Sus scrofa: one gene and its partner. The protein of the gene in region 2 purifies or fractionates together with the protein of the main gene of each other region. This does not show direct contact. Links are inferred from orthologs where the notes say so. Each region holds a gene or a part of one and is shown on either strand. Other genes may lie near its edges.

Region 1 (3,652 bases), on a different chromosome or scaffold from region 2:
TTGAAGGCCAGGCCTGGGACTCCCTACTCCCAATTCTCACTGCCTAACAGGGGCCTGGCCCAGCGTCACTGCTCTGCACTGATGTTGAACGAGTCCAGAGGGAAGACTGGGTGGCAGTGTTTTCCCACATGCTGGGCCCCCTCTAGCTAACCGGTTGTCTTTCTCTCTTTAGCAAAAACGAAAGCTGCGGATCTATATTTCCAATACGTTCAGTCCCAGCAAGGCAGAAGGTGACAGTGCAGGAAGCGCAGGGACTCCTGGGGGGACCCCAGCAGGGGACAAGGTGGCTTCCTGGGAACTCCGAGTAGAGGGAAAACTGCTGGATGATGTGAGTTGGGGGGAGAGGTGCTGGAGGGGAGGTGGCCTGTGTGGGTTTCATTCTTGGGCTGACACTTGGGCGCTCCTGGGGATGTCCTGCCTGAGGGAGAGCAGCTTTGCACAGCTCCAAGTCAGTGAGAGGTGGCAGATTTGTATGGTTGTGACAATAGTTTTCCTGCAGATGGCAGTGAAGTGTCCTGCGGAAGGGGTACCCCTTTCTAATTTGTCGTGCTTTATTGGCTGCCAGTGGGGCTGCATAGAGCCCTTTTCCTGTCCCCAGTCTCTCATTTTCTCCTCTTCCCTCAGGGCCCAAGAGCCCTCGGGTCCCCGAGCTTCAGGGCCAAGACAGCATTCCTCTTTGGGGCCTAGTATAGCTTAGGCTCGAGCGCCCAGCAGCACCCCCATCTCACACCCCTTTGCATCCCCAGCCTAGCAAACAGAAGAGGAAGTTTTCTTCATTCTTTAAGAGCCTTGTCATTGAGCTGGACAAGGAACTGTACGGGCCTGACAACCACCTAGTGGAGGTGAGAGTGGGCCTGGGGTGACGTGCCAGGTGGGCAGAGAAATGGTCTTGGTCCCCGTGTAGGGCCAGTTGTGTATAGGGTCATGCCCACCCCCTTGCTGATGAGCTCTGCTCCCCTCCTCATGCCAGTGGCACCGGATGCCCACCACCCAGGAGACAGATGGCTTCCAAGTGAAACGGCCTGGAGACCTCAATGTCAAGTGCACCCTCCTGCTCATGCTGGATCATCAGGTGACAGTGCCCCTCATCTGGGGGGGTGGGGGCATGTTCTTATCATAAACCCTGTCCCTGCCCTGTTCTTCCACTTTGATTTTTCCTAAGAACCCCTCTGTCCATCCCCAGCCTCCCCAGTACAAGTTGGACCCCCGACTGGCGAGGCTGCTGGGGGTGCACACACAGACGAGGGCTGCCATCATGCAGGCCCTGTGGCTCTATATCAAACACAATCAGCTGCAGGACGGCCACGAGCGCGAGTACATCAACTGCAACCGCTACTTCCGCCAGGTTAGCTGGGCCCCTGCCTTGCGTGCTGCTCCAGAGCCTCCCCCCACCACCCCCTGGGCTAGTTCTTGGCCACATTCTTCACACGGATCCTAGGATGGTCCACTTCCCCTGTCCCAACCCTCGGGTGTTCTTTCCAGATCTTCAGTTGTGGCCGACTCCGTTTCTCTGAGATTCCCATGAAGCTGGCTGGGCTGCTGCAGCATCCAGACCCCATTGTCATCAATCATGTCATTAGGTAAACGGGAGACGGGGAGGAAGGCTCCTCTAAGAACAGCTTATGTTTGGCTTGATGTAAAACCAGAGAGAAGCAGCAGGTTTGGTTCCTAGCAGCGTGGCCCAGGTGGGTGGGATGGCGACAGCGGTGTGCTCACCCTGGCTCCTGTGCGCTGTCCTCAGCGTGGACCCGAACGACCAGAAGAAGACCGCCTGTTATGACATTGACGTGGAGGTGGATGACCCGCTCAAGGCCCAGATGAGCAATTTTCTGGCCTCTACCACCAATCAGCAGGAGATTGCCTCTCTTGATGTCAAGGTGGGCCCTCCTACCTCCCCAGCCTGCTCTGGGGCCCAAGATAGAGGTGGGCAGGCTCTATCTAGACATGTAGCACCTTGGGGCAGGATCTGAGTCCTTTGGGGTGAGGCTTGGGACCAGACCCTGTAGGGGTGGGAGCCAGTCTGACCCATGGACTCCTTTTCCCAGATCCACGAGACCATCGAGTCCATCAACCAGCTGAAGACCCAGAGGGATTTCATGCTCAGCTTTAGCACTGACCCCCAGGACTTCATCCAGGAATGGCTCCGTTCCCAGCGCCGGGACCTCAAGGTGTGCTCTTCTCTCCTGAGCTTGAGCCCATGTTAAGCGCTGGGTGGTTTTGCCCCCATCACTCTTCTTTCCGTTCCGGGGGCAGACTGGCTAAGGGGTGGGAATCACATCCGGCTTTCCTCCCGGCTCTTTGCAGATCATCACTGATGTGATTGGGAATCCTGAGGAGGAGAGACGAGCTGCCTTCTACCACCAGCCCTGGGCCCAGGAAGCAGTGGGGAGGCACATCTTTGCCAAGGTGAGGCCGCCTCTGCCCACCTGCCCGCCTGCAGTCTTGAGCTGGCCGCACTCGGGAGGGGAGGGGTGCGGTCACATGCACAGGCGGACAGGTCTGAGCGCAGCTCTCTCCCCCTCCAGGTGCAGCAGCGAAGGCAGGAACTGGAACAGGTGCTGGGAATCCGCCTGACCTAACTGCTCAGGGATCCCTTTCTTCCCAGCCCTGGAGCCACCCCCTCCTCGGCCTGGAAGGGGACCACCCTCTGGAGTGCCGACACTTAGGATAAGGAGGGGGTGAGAGGTGTCTCCTGACACTCTCTGCTCCCAGCTTTCGTTTCAAAATGTAGTGATAGGATTCCTTGTTGCTTGGTCCCCAAAGCCTTATTATTTTACACGTTGGCTTTAATTGGGTTCACAGGAGGCCTTCTCTGCCCCCTGCAGGCAGGCCCGAGTAGGACCTGGAGGCTGTGCTTTGACATTGTAAGGAGACCTTTCAGAACCAAAGGCCACTCTGGCTTTGCTTGTTTACAGACCCCCTGAGGGCGAGTGTCGGAGCTGGCTCTGGGGAGCTGGGCGAGGAAGAGGGGCACAGCTCACACTCTTCCTAGCCTTTCCAAACCAAAGTTCTTTGCCATTCCTACCAGCCCAGCCTTGCTGCTGGCTTTTTCCTTTCCTTTGGGTATTTGCACTATTTGTGGAGCAGGTTTTTCTATGCGGGAGCCACTTTTTATACAGGGGTAAGCTGGGGTTTTTCAGGGAGCCCTACTTGGTGCCTCCTTCCTTCTTTTCTTTCCTTGATCTATGCAAGCGGCTCCAGCCGCCATCATCTCCTGGGATGCCAGAGGGCCGCCGCCCCGGCTCTTGGGCTTGGGGGGAGCACCTCTTAGAGGAAGGGTGCACTCTATTCTCGGGCACGGCCTGAGGTGTGGGTGTGCGGGCTTGCTGGAGGGCAGGGTGAGAAGAGGAGCAGTGGGCAGGACTGCTGTTGCCCTTTGGAGCTCGGTAAGGAGGGTGGGTGGGCCTAGGGCTTGGCAAGTGCCACTTCTGGCAGGTTTGGAAATTTCCAAATAAATCTTTTGTTTATTGGTGGTACCCAGACCCAGTGTTTGAACAGTGTAGCCACTTATTAACAGACTCAAGTCCTCAAAGGCTCGTCCTGCAGAGCTTTATTTGAGGGAATCCACACGAAAGACACCTGCCTCACTTCCATAGCTTCTTGATGGACATGTTTTTCTCGCTGTCCTTCTGCATGACCTGGAGAGAGAGAG
Region 2 (3,652 bases):
GGGATCAGTAGCATCTTGGGAGCACTGGGACGTGAGTTCAATCCCCGACGGGCACAGTGGGTTAAAGATTTGGCGTTGCTGCAACTGCAGCTCAGATCTGATCCCTGGCCTGGGAGCTCCATATGCCTCAGGGTGGCCAAAAATTAAAATAATGATAATATTAATATGTAGTGGTGATTTGGGACACCATTTTACTATGATTCTTACAGTTTAGAAACTTGGAAGGTGTTCTCATCATTGTTACCTTTTAATCTGAGGTTTCAGCTGCAGCGTAAGAGAGAACTTTGCTTCTGCTTTTTTTCTGTTGATATTTCAGAGTAGTCTCTGTGGCTTTTTATCTTATCCATTTTCCTCATGACAGCTCAACTTCCTTTATCATAAAACACTTAGGTAGTACTCTGCCAAAAAAAGAGAGAAATACGTACAGACAACCAATTGATCTCCCCCCCCTCCCCCCGAATTTGGAGGGATTTGTGTTCTTTTGTAAGGTTGTAGAATAACAGGAGCTCTCGCTATGGTGCAATGGGATTGGTGGTGTCTTGGGAGTACTGAGACCTGGGTTCAGTCCCCAGCCTGGCACAGTGGGGTTAAGGATCGGCATTGCCACAGCTTCAGCTTAGGTTGAGACTGTGGCTGAGATCTGATCCCTGGCCCAGGAGCTCCTTATGCTGTGGGGCAGCCAAAAATGGGGCGGGGGGGAAGAGTTATAGAATAATAGAACTGGAAGGGACCCTAGGTGTAATCTAGACCAGTGCTGCTTCAAGTGTGGTGATCCCTGGACCAGCAACATCAACATCACCTGGGAGTTGTTATAAATGCATATCCTGGACCCAACCCTGGACCTACAGAATCAGATTTTGGGGTGGGTTGCAGCATTGTGTGTTTTATCAAGCCCTCCAGGTGATTTAGATATATTCTGAGGTTTGAGAACCACTGAATTCCTTAATTTGAAAGTTTATGATATTCAGGTCCAGAGTATTAATATCTGCTCCCCATCCCCAATTTAAGATTCAGTTTTCAAGTTTTATGTTTTCCAGGCCTACTTTGCAACTTGGGTGTATCTATTTAAGATGCCTAGAGACAGTCCCCTCTCCCCTCCACACCACCAATAGATGTAGGTAGGCATTTCTGGCAGGGGAAAGTGTGCTGGGGCTCTGTCTTGTGTAGCTCTAATAGGCTACAAAGTTAGGTCAAAAAGTGATATGAATTGATTGATCCTGTTGCACCACAAAGAGCTGAGTGATACGTTTGTAGCCAAAACCTATGAATGGAACTTTGAGCTTTCATTATTCTGTCTTTTTTTTTTTTTTTTTTCCTTTCCTTTTTAGGACTGCACCCATGGCATATGAAGGTTCCCGGGCGAGGGGGTCAAATCGGAGCTACAGCTGCTGGCCTACGCCAGAGCCACAGCAACACGGGATCTGAGCCATGTTTGCAACCTACACTACAGCTCATGGCAACGCTGGATCCTTAACCTGCTGAGCGAAGCCAGGTATCAAACCCGAAACCTCATGGTTCCTAGTCAGATTTGTTTCCCTTGTGCCACGACGGGAACTCCTCTATGTCTTAGATGTAAGTTCTACCCTCCTTGCACCCTCAAGCTCTTGAAAATTAAAGGAGGTGATCTTTCCAGTTGATTTGTACAAGGCTCTAAGTAAATTCAGGGTCACAGTTTCCTTAATGGCTGTAACGTAGCTATGTTACCCATTTGGAAGAAAAAACAAATTTAGGTGCTTGTGCTGTGGTGCAAGTGGGCTATGGATGTGCAAGGAAATAAAAGATTCCACTATTTAAGAATAAAAACATCTAGATGCTTGAGTATTTAAATTCTCAACCACAGTATTGAAGCATCATTTTTCATGTTCTTGAACAAGATCATGACAGAGTATAGCAGCACCATCCCCTCCCAGCTAAAGTGCCTTTGTTCTGATTTCCTGCACCATAGAGTACATCTGTTCGTTGTTCCATACTTGGCCTGTCCTGTGGATCTCAAGTAGTACCACACTTACAAAATAGTATATAGCTACAAGATGCTTTCACAAACTGGTGGTATTTTCCATGTTACATTTGACAAACTCAAGGTTCTGAGGAAAGGTTAAATGATTTGCCCAAGGGGTTACTGGGTCTGTACCATTACTTTTTCATAGTAACTGTTTCTCTTTGTGGCATATAGACCTATATGCTTAGGTTTGTGTTCTCATTGGTCAGAGGCCATCACAGCTTCAGGTTAATAAAATGCTCTTTATTTTGTAGCCATCCAGTCCAATGGATCAGATGGGCAAGATGAGACCTCAGCCATATGGCGGGACTAATCCGTACTCGCAACAACAGGGACCTCCATCAGGACCGCAACAAGGACATGGGTACCCAGGGCAGCCGTATGGGTCCCAGACCCCACAGCGGTACCCAATGACCATGCAGGGCCGAGCGCAGAGTACCATGGGCGGCCTCTCTTATGCACAGCAGGTAGATGGTGACTCCAATTTCCTTAATCCTTGTTGTTGTCCAGGATCTGATCTTGAGCTGTAGAATCAGAATGTGTCTTTGGTTTCCAAATGTCTTGAAAGGAACATAGGCCAGCTGAATCTTAGTTACAGTATGCTACTTAAAAGGCCAAGTTGTGGGCACCATTGCATGTATGCTCAAGGAAAACTGGTCCCTGGCAGGCTCTGCTTATCTGTCTTATTCTGTGACCTGGCTGGCCTCCTTGTACTCACTGGTAATCTCTGAAGGAAGTGGGAGGCAAGAAAGGCAATGACTGAGCACCAGTCCACTGCTACAAAGAAAAGTCATTCCTACCATGTGCTCTGGGACAGAAGGCTTGCATGTTTCTCAAGGCTTTCAACATATAGCTGTGTGGTTTAAAACAAATGTTTAGGAGTTCCCGTTGTGGCGCAGTGGTTAACGAATCCGACTAGGAACCATGAGGTTGCGGGTTCAATCCCTGCCCTTGCTCAGTGGGTTAACGATCCGGCATTGCCGTGAGCTGTGGTGTAGGTCGCAGACATGGCTCGGATCCTGTGTTGCTGTGGCTCTGGCGTAGGCTGGTGGCTACAGCTCCGATTCGACCCCTAGCCTGGGAACCTCCATATGCCGCGGGAGCGGCCCAAGAAATAGCAAAAAGACAAAAAAAAACCAAAACAAAACAAAAAACAAAAAACAAATGTTTAGGGGTTAAGGATCTGACATTGCCACAAGCTGTGGTGTACGTCTCAGATGTGGCTTGGATTTGGTGTGGCTGTGGCGTAGGCCAGCAGCTGCAGCTCCGATTCAACCCCTAGCCTGGGAAATTCCATGTGCTGCAGGTGTGGCTGTTTAAAAAGAAAAATAAATAAAATAATGTGAATGTTTAGGAGTGGTGGCTCAATGGGTTAAGGATTCAGCATTGTCACTGCTGTGGCATGAGTTGTTCAATCCCTAGCCTGGGAACTTTTGCATGCCACAGGTGTGGCCAGAAAAAAAAATGCATGTTTAGAAGGGACTAGGACGACTAGGTAGCAGAAAAGGAAAGATTGAGGAGTAAAGATGCTAACAGTGCTGTTACGAATGTTAAGATTTTCCTCCTCTCCTTGTCTGGCCATCCACAGCATTATCTTTTTATTGTCATTTTTTGTTTTGACAGCACTTTCTACAATTTATCCTTGAGTGATAA

Evidence for each region. The genes of interacting proteins can lie anywhere in the genome.
Region 1: the proteins of ARID1A (region 2) and SMARCD2 purify together in Homo sapiens (affinity purification with mass spectrometry; 7 studies listed by BioGRID and IntAct, with this or other methods). This does not show direct contact. The link is inferred for Sus scrofa from reciprocal best matches to the Homo sapiens genes ARID1A and SMARCD2.

The regions. Positions count from the first base shown.
Region 1 is NC_010454.4:15,098,419-15,102,070, forward strand, and holds the end of SMARCD2 (SWI/SNF-related matrix-associated actin-dependent regulator of chromatin subfamily D member 2), read left to right. Parts: intron 1-172; coding exon 173-328; intron 329-746; coding exon 747-842; intron 843-970; coding exon 971-1,072; intron 1,073-1,183; coding exon 1,184-1,345; intron 1,346-1,482; coding exon 1,483-1,580; intron 1,581-1,741; coding exon 1,742-1,877; intron 1,878-2,045; coding exon 2,046-2,168; intron 2,169-2,304; coding exon 2,305-2,406; intron 2,407-2,525; coding exon 2,526-2,579; 3' UTR 2,580-3,481; downstream 3,482-3,652. UniProt on the Homo sapiens protein: Involved in transcriptional activation and repression of select genes by chromatin remodeling (alteration of DNA-nucleosome topology).
Region 2 is NC_010448.4:84,073,583-84,077,234, forward strand, and holds part of ARID1A (AT-rich interactive domain-containing protein 1A), read left to right. Parts: intron 1-2,253; coding exon 2,254-2,466; intron 2,467-3,652. UniProt on the Homo sapiens protein: Involved in transcriptional activation and repression of select genes by chromatin remodeling (alteration of DNA-nucleosome topology).